Schizosaccharomyces pombe: one gene and its partner. Changing the gene in region 2 together with the main gene of any one other region gives a genetic interaction. Each region holds a gene or a part of one and is shown on either strand. Other genes may lie near its edges.

Evidence for each region.
Region 1: of hem13 (region 2) and erg11, changing one suppresses a phenotype caused by changing the other (phenotypic suppression), as found in Schizosaccharomyces pombe (one study listed by BioGRID).

The regions. Positions count from the first base shown.
Region 1 is NC_003424.3:575,298-579,226, reverse strand, and holds the start of erg11 (sterol 14-demethylase), read left to right. Parts: upstream 1-2,073; 5' UTR 2,074-2,604; coding exon 2,605-3,929. Other genes in the region: protein Mcp7, read right to left, coding at 1-546, 641-706. UniProt on the Schizosaccharomyces pombe protein: Sterol 14alpha-demethylase that plays a critical role in the third module of ergosterol biosynthesis pathway, being ergosterol the major sterol component in fungal membranes that participates in a variety of functions.
Region 2 is NC_003424.3:964,341-968,160, reverse strand, and holds hem13 (coproporphyrinogen III oxidase), read right to left. Parts: upstream 2,026-3,820; 5' UTR 1,732-2,025; coding exon 793-1,731; 3' UTR 570-792; downstream 1-569. Other genes in the region: SPOM_SPAC222.17 (uncharacterized protein), read left to right, coding at 1-131, 203-296; two-component GAP Byr4, read left to right, coding at 3,727-3,820.

The DNA of each region.
Region 1 (3,929 bases), 390 kb from region 2:
ATCGTCCAAATCCTCTGGAATGCTGCAATACTCACGAATTTGATTGGTATCGGCACCCATGTCTCGACAAAAAGCTATCAAAGTATGGATTTGATCGGTCCACAAATTGGCAGCTTCCATGTACTTTTTAGTATTCTCATTTTTTAATTCAAAGGTTTCAGGATTACAGTGATTTAAATTTGAAAGTTGTGTTTTAAGAAGTTTTAGTTCTGATTCTTTTGCATGTAGCAGTTCCAAAGTGTATTGATTGGCATCATTTTCGGTTCCTTCGTTATCCCTTTTGGATTTCTCGAAACTAATGTTTTCATCTAAAGTTTTAGATTTTTGTTTCAAATCATCAAGTTGAGCTTGAAGAGATCCGAGAACTGACTCTCTTGAACGTTTAGCATCGGAGGGAAAAGACCAGTAGTAATTGCTAGTGCCAATCTTTTCCGTTTTGACGATATTGTCGTCAACGAGAGACTGTAAAACGTCCTTTACAGTTTGCAAAACGATTTGCTTTTTAGAGCCCAGCTTTTCCACCTCCTTTAGTTGAAAAAAATCTTTCTATAAAAAAAACATAGATTAGCAATGTGGAAAGTGAGACACGAATGGGCAAAAATCATGTTTTGGCACTTGAACAATCATATCACGAACTTACAGAGTCATGGAAAATGGCCTCTAATCTTCTTCTTTTCTCTGCAAGCGATAGTCCCTTGGGAGGCATTGTTTAAAAATTTATTAATTAGTTTGAACAAATATGGAGTTTAAAAGTTTGTTGTGATGCAAGAAGTAGATGCTTTCTAATCTTTTGGAGAAATGAGAGTTTAGATCCCAAACATTTACTGAATGATAACGTAGTCTGCTAAAATGCACATCCGCACTTTCCAACTATGATATATACCCTATAATGTCTTACTATCGTATTGCAACATAATGCAATGCAAAACGTTATTCAGCTATCCTAATCTTTTTGACCCTTGAGGAAATTAAGGAATTAAGTGAATGGGGTTGGCTATTGTCGCACAAAAACATGTGAGGAAAACTTCCTTTTGCCACGAAATCGAAAAGACTCGAATACTGATAGCAGCATGATTTTTTTTTTCTCAAGAGCTTTTGTCGGCGCTCACCTTACTGTACGAATTCGGTTTTACAACCTTTTATTTATTTTTCACTTTATTATTTTCACACAGCGAATTTCAAGCAAACACTGACTGACTAACACATTTCCACATACACACACACACACACATAGCATTCATAAGAGCAACGATGTTTAATGTCAGCGCAAACAAAATGTGTATTGACTTTTGATAAGAGATACTCAGTCAATTTGTCTACTAATTTCAACTATGGCTGGGTATTAACCGGTGTGCCATGTTCGCAGCTAAATGTGTTTTAATCTAGATTAGAATATGGGAGTAAGTGACAAACTTTGGGAACCGCTTTCCCATGGGTAAAAACAGGTGTGAAAAGGATTATTGTTTTTATTACTAAACAATCGTATGCAAAGTCATGCGACCAAAAAGAGCGAGTTAGTTAGGTCATTAGATAAGCTTTTGGATGTTCGTAAGCTAAACGACTTGTCGAGCTAAAGTTGTTCGAATCCAATTACATGTTTGGAGAAGACGTATAAGGAGGCACGGTTGGTGGTTTACCGAACAAATAGTAGAAGGTATAGTAGACGTGCACATGTTGACACATTTTTATTTTTAGGTGATAAAGTAGGGTAGAAGCAAGTAGTTTGTTAAATGTGCGTTACGAGCTACGGTAAACATGTGTATTATCTCGGTCCAATGGACGTGCCATCGTTCGATCGCAACATAAGCCCCGCAGTCATTCACCTCACAAACCCTCGAATCGTACGATGTCGCCCTATTCTCAGGTAACAAAATTGGATTTCTCATTGGCTTAGTGGCTAATTCACCTTGACCAGAAAGAACAATAAGGTAGTATCTGAAAAATATGATTGGATAAAAAAGTGTAATTTTGAAGTGATCAAGTAGCATGTTTTTTTACGGATTTTCAGCATAAACAAACGGTTACACGGCCATTATGTTGCATATATAATTCTACCAACTCCCATCAGTCAGCGCGAGACCCAAGTTAGCTTGAATCGTCGTCGAAACCAGCGTATTTGGTGTCAAAGAGAAGATAAATCGATTCTTCACTTGTAGAAGTACCTTAAAAAAGACAAGATCTAAAATTTCTGTATCGATCGTTGTTTTTGAAAATTGTCTTTTCAAAATCCCAATCTCATTCGTTAAGTGAAAGGAAACGTAATTTTTTTTTGTTTTTCTTTCATATTATTGTCTGTTTTCGATTTCGTTTTTAACGCTTTTTTCTATTTGTTTCATTCGTTGTTCTCGTAGCTGCGTGTTAATCAATTCATTTTTTCTTTCTCCTTTTCTTTTTCAAGTTTATTTGCATTAGCTCAAAGGGTTGAACTATTTTTATCTGTTACACATTTGTTGTTGTTGTCGTTGTTTTTTGGTTGGTCTTATTCGTTTTTGGTTGCTATCTGCTTACCCCTTACTACTTTACTGACTGATTTTATTTTTTTCGTCTGATTATTTTTTACCTGCTTTACCCACTTGAGCATTACTTTTTTTTTCATAAGTCAGGATGGCATTCTCTTTAGTTTCGATTTTATTATCGATTGCATTGGCTTGGTATGTTGGTTATATTATTAACCAACTTACCTCTCGCAATAGCAAACGCCCCCCAATTGTCTTCCATTGGATACCCTTTGTAGGTTCTGCTGTCGCATACGGTATGGACCCTTATGTATTTTTTCGCGAGTGTCGTGCCAAATATGGTGATGTTTTCACCTTTGTTTGCATGGGTCGTAAAATGACCGCTTTCCTTGGTGTCCAAGGTAATGATTTCCTCTTTAACGGTAAATTAGCTGATTTGAATGCTGAAGAAGCTTACTCTCATTTAACTACCCCTGTATTCGGTAAAGATGTCGTTTACGATATTCCCAACCATGTTTTTATGGAGCACAAGAAGTTTATCAAATCTGGTCTTGGCTTCTCTCAATTCCGCTCTTATGTCCCCCTCATTCTTAACGAAATGGATGCTTTTCTCAGCACTTCTCCTGACTTCGGACCTGGTAAGGAAGGCGTTGCTGATTTGCTGAAGACCATGCCTGTCATGACTATTTACACTGCTTCTCGTACTTTACAAGGTGCTGAGGTTCGCAAGGGCTTTGACGCTGGTTTCGCTGACTTGTACCATGACCTTGATCAAGGATTTAGCCCTGTTAACTTTGTTTTCCCTTGGTTACCTCTCCCTAGAAACAGACGCCGTGATAGAGCCCACAAAATTATGCAAAAAACTTATCTTAAAATTATTAAAGATCGTCGCTCTAGCACTGAAAATCCTGGTACTGATATGATTTGGACTTTGATGAGCTGCAAGTATAGAGATGGCCGTCCTTTGAAGGAACATGAAATTGCTGGTATGATGATTGCACTTTTGATGGCTGGTCAACACACCTCTGCTGCCACTATCGTTTGGGTTCTTGCTCTTTTGGGTAGCAAACCTGAAATCATTGAAATGTTGTGGGAAGAGCAGAAGCGTGTTGTAGGTGAAAACTTGGAATTGAAGTTTGACCAATATAAGGACATGCCTCTTCTCAACTATGTTATTCAAGAAACTCTTAGACTCCATCCCCCTATCCACAGTCATATGCGTAAAGTCAAACGTGACTTACCCGTCCCTGGTTCAAAGATTGTTATCCCTGCCAACAACTATCTTCTTGCTGCTCCCGGTTTAACTGCTACTGAAGAGGAATACTTCACTCATGCTACTGACTTTGACCCCAAGCGCTGGAATGACCGCGTCAATGAAGACGAAAATGCTGAGCAAATTGATTATGGTTATGGTCTCGTTACAAAGGGTGCTGCTTCTCCATACCTACCCTTTGGAGCTGGTCGTCATCGTTG
Region 2 (3,820 bases):
CAGAAGGTCTTCTTTGAAAGTCTAAACAATCAAACTGAACGAGTTTGCCAACAAACGGAGTCAGGGGATATCTCCTGCATTGAATTGGCTGCAGCGGAGACAAAATTGTTTGCTACTATGCAATCTTTAGGGTACGTAAGATGGGAGATTGTTAGATTATTATCCTATATACACTTACTGTGAGTTTGATATTAACCAACAGGTTCATTTGCACTTTATCAGCAGATCCCAATCGGCCCACTGTATTTGAGTGTAAAAGGGAATTAGATACAAATGAAAGAAAAGAGCGACTGTAAAATTTGTACCGATGCTAACGTTTTATGACTTGTCTATCTCAATCCGTTGGGGATCGACGTCGTTTTATCATAAAGACAAGACACACACATTTTACCTTCATCTTCTTTTTTTTTATTCGTATTATTTTAAAGAAAAATACATTGAAATTAAGTTAATGAAAGTGCAGATCAGTTGAAATTTATATTGTGAAATTAGATCTCAAGCCAAATAGGTACTGTACTTTACTTTAAAACTCTTTATAAAACACTACTCAATAAAAGATACGGATTTTTAAAGGGTAAAATATTGTTTCATTAGCTTAGAAAAGGGATTCAAAATCGCAAATTCAAACAGTTAAGAATTCCAAATAATGAAGAGCAAAAAAGGCATGATAGAAAATTTAACATGAGTTAGTGTAACATGGCATAGTTTAAAAACAAACGAAAGAATAAAGCTATTACCAAAAATTGTGATGTTCATTAAATGCTGAAGTAAAAGTCATTTTTGTGAATCTTTCTAGCACCATTCAATAGGGGTATGCGTTACTTTAAGGAGAGCCTTGTGACGCTCTTGTTTAGGCTCATACTTGTAACGCCAGGAAGCATGTAATGGAAGGGTCATAAGAATAGATTCAACACGGGGTTCAGGAGCTTGAAGACCAAACCAAGTACCTCTGTCATACATAACGTTAAACTCGGCATAGTATCCACGACGAATGAGTTGGAATTCCTTATCATCTTCAGTGAATTCCATGTTCTTTCTCTTTTCCATAATAGGGACATAGGCAGGAAGGAAGGTATGGGCACAATCCTTGACGAAAGCAAATAACTCTTGAGGATCTTTCTCAGAAAGATCATCAAAGAAAATACCGCCAATGCCACGAGTCTCCTTTCTGTGCTTGATGAGGAAGTATTCATCAGCCCATTTCTTGAAGCGAGGATAGAAAGTGGGGTCATGGCGATCGCAAGCTTCTTTATGCAATTTGTGGAAATGCTTGCCATCTTCTTCAAAGAGAATGCTAGGAGTCAAATCGGCTCCACCACCAAACCACCAAATCTTCTTACCATCACTGTTTACAAGTTCAAAGTAACGATAGTTCAAGTGAGTAGTAGGGGCCATGGGGTTGCGAGGGTGAATAACCATACTGATACCAGCAGCAAAGAATGGAAGCTCTTTGGCAGTACGATCAATACCTTCATGATTAGCACGCATTCTTTGGACAGCGTCTTGATTCAATTTTCCTTGAACAATACTTGTGTTGACACCACCCTTTTCAAAAACGTTGCCATCTTGAATAACACAACTGATACCATAACCACCTTCTCCCTTGGTCCACTTGTCTTGGAAGAATTTTTGTCCATCGACAGCTTCGAGACCAGCAACAATTTCTTGCTGAACATCGAGAATAAGCTTCTCCATCTGCTTGCCAATAGGCTCAACGGTAATGTCAGACATCTTTTTATTTACTTTACGGATTTGCTCAAAATGTCCAAAAAAAAAAGTAACCAAAATGGTATTTAAGATATGATACAACCGATTGGATGAATTGGTATTAACACAAGTGAAGAATCAAAACACTGTTCAACTTGCGAATTAAATTTACAACTTGGTTGTTTTGTTTTCACAAAAACACTGTGCCAGCAGCGAATGGGATTAGGGGGATTTATATCAAAAAATAGACTAAATTCAGATATTTAAAAATCGAACGATTTCTGGACAGTCACGACCGTAATGGCTCGTTTTTCTCGTAAGGTTAAGAACACAATCCGGATTCCACGATCTGAGTGTTTCGTTACTGCACCTTGTAGTGCGATATATAGATTCCTTCGATGGAAAACAATTATTAGTTTTATATGAATTTGATTAGGATGATGTTAAACATCCTTTTCTTTGACTTATTATTAGACTATCTGAAAAATGGAGTTACTTCTCGTCTATGAGAAATGTTTGTAAGTTGCTTCGCTACTAGCAAGCAATAATGTTTTTAACTGCTTGGTTTACAGAAAAGCACAAGAGTATAAGACAGATGCCATGCTTACTTTTTCAACTTGTTCGATTTACCATTTCTTAAGTACAAACATTAATAAGATCATCAACCTATATTTTTTATGAACTTTACATGAATAATTACATGATTAAATCACTGAAATTATATGAAACTATAGACAGAATTGATGCTAAAAATAATTTAGGAAAAATATGAATAGCGCGATCGCATAGGGGTAAAAACATGATTATGTTTCATACTTGGATTTACTAATGAAGAACGGTTTCTCATACCTATGAATTGAAGAGTTAATTTGTTCAACTTTACCATTGTTGATTTCAATAACTTTTTAGATGTAAAAAAATAAACTAAAATAAAACAAAGACGTTTCTTTTGTTATAAACTAATAGATTTACTTTTTAACCTATAGTTTAATCGTTTTTTTTTTTTTTTTTTTTTGTAATTTATCTAAACTCGTATATGAAAATAGTATGTATTTTAGAAATTATACGAAGAATCTAATAAAAAAAGATTCCTTAAAATGTATTTCATATATACTTGAACGAATATGTAGATTCCATAAACAGAATTAAATTGTAAATGGGCATAAATTTCAGAGAAAGCAATTGTTTATAATAATTTAAACGTTCAAAGAAAAATATATATATTTTCGTGGAGGAAAATAAAATTCTAAGACGAATGAATTTGCTAATACGAGTGACGATTAAACATACTATTTATTGCTTCACCTACTAACCTTCGTTGTAATTTATCTACTTTTTAAAAAACATTAACTCGTAGTTGCATGCTAATTAGATTACCTAGATTTTTTTAAGGTGAGGTGCAGCTATGCATTTTGGCAATCACATATGGTTAAGTATTTTACTATGATTAATCTAGCAAAAATAAATATGACTGAAAGATACCAAAAAAAACTATTTTTTTTTTAGGTTTACACAAGCAAATAGTAGATGCTTTATTTTTCACCTTATTAAAAATTGATTTCTCGTAAAGTACTGAAACCAAAGTACGTAAATTGATCAAGTTGGTGTTTACACTTATACCTCTAGCTCAACCTCCGTCTCTTTCAACAATATACCGCTAACCCAGATTCCTTGATTTTGTCATTGAAATAAGTTAAATTCTTTTTTTTGCTTTCTATACAAAACAAAATTTCATTGTATCTCTGAAAGCATCATCATAATCATATTCCTGAAGTCCTTTTGAATTGCTGTTCATAACTTATTACTTCTCGAAGCTGGGTTTGAAAGCGTAAATATTTACAGTGGTTACTTCTTTGCAAAATTAGTGACCATCCTTTTTCTCTCTCACTTTCTTTTTCTTTGAAAATCAAATTTAGGGTTTTCAGTTTTGGGTGAATACGGTTAGTAATCATTCTATGCGTTTTGCATCCAATTTCTTTTCTTAGCAAAGCCGTTTTAGTATACGTTTATTTTGATTGAATGACTGAAGTTGAATGCTGGGACGATGATCCTGATTTTGCTTCCGACGTCGATAATGCTAGCCTATTTACTCAATCCATAGCTACCACTAGTG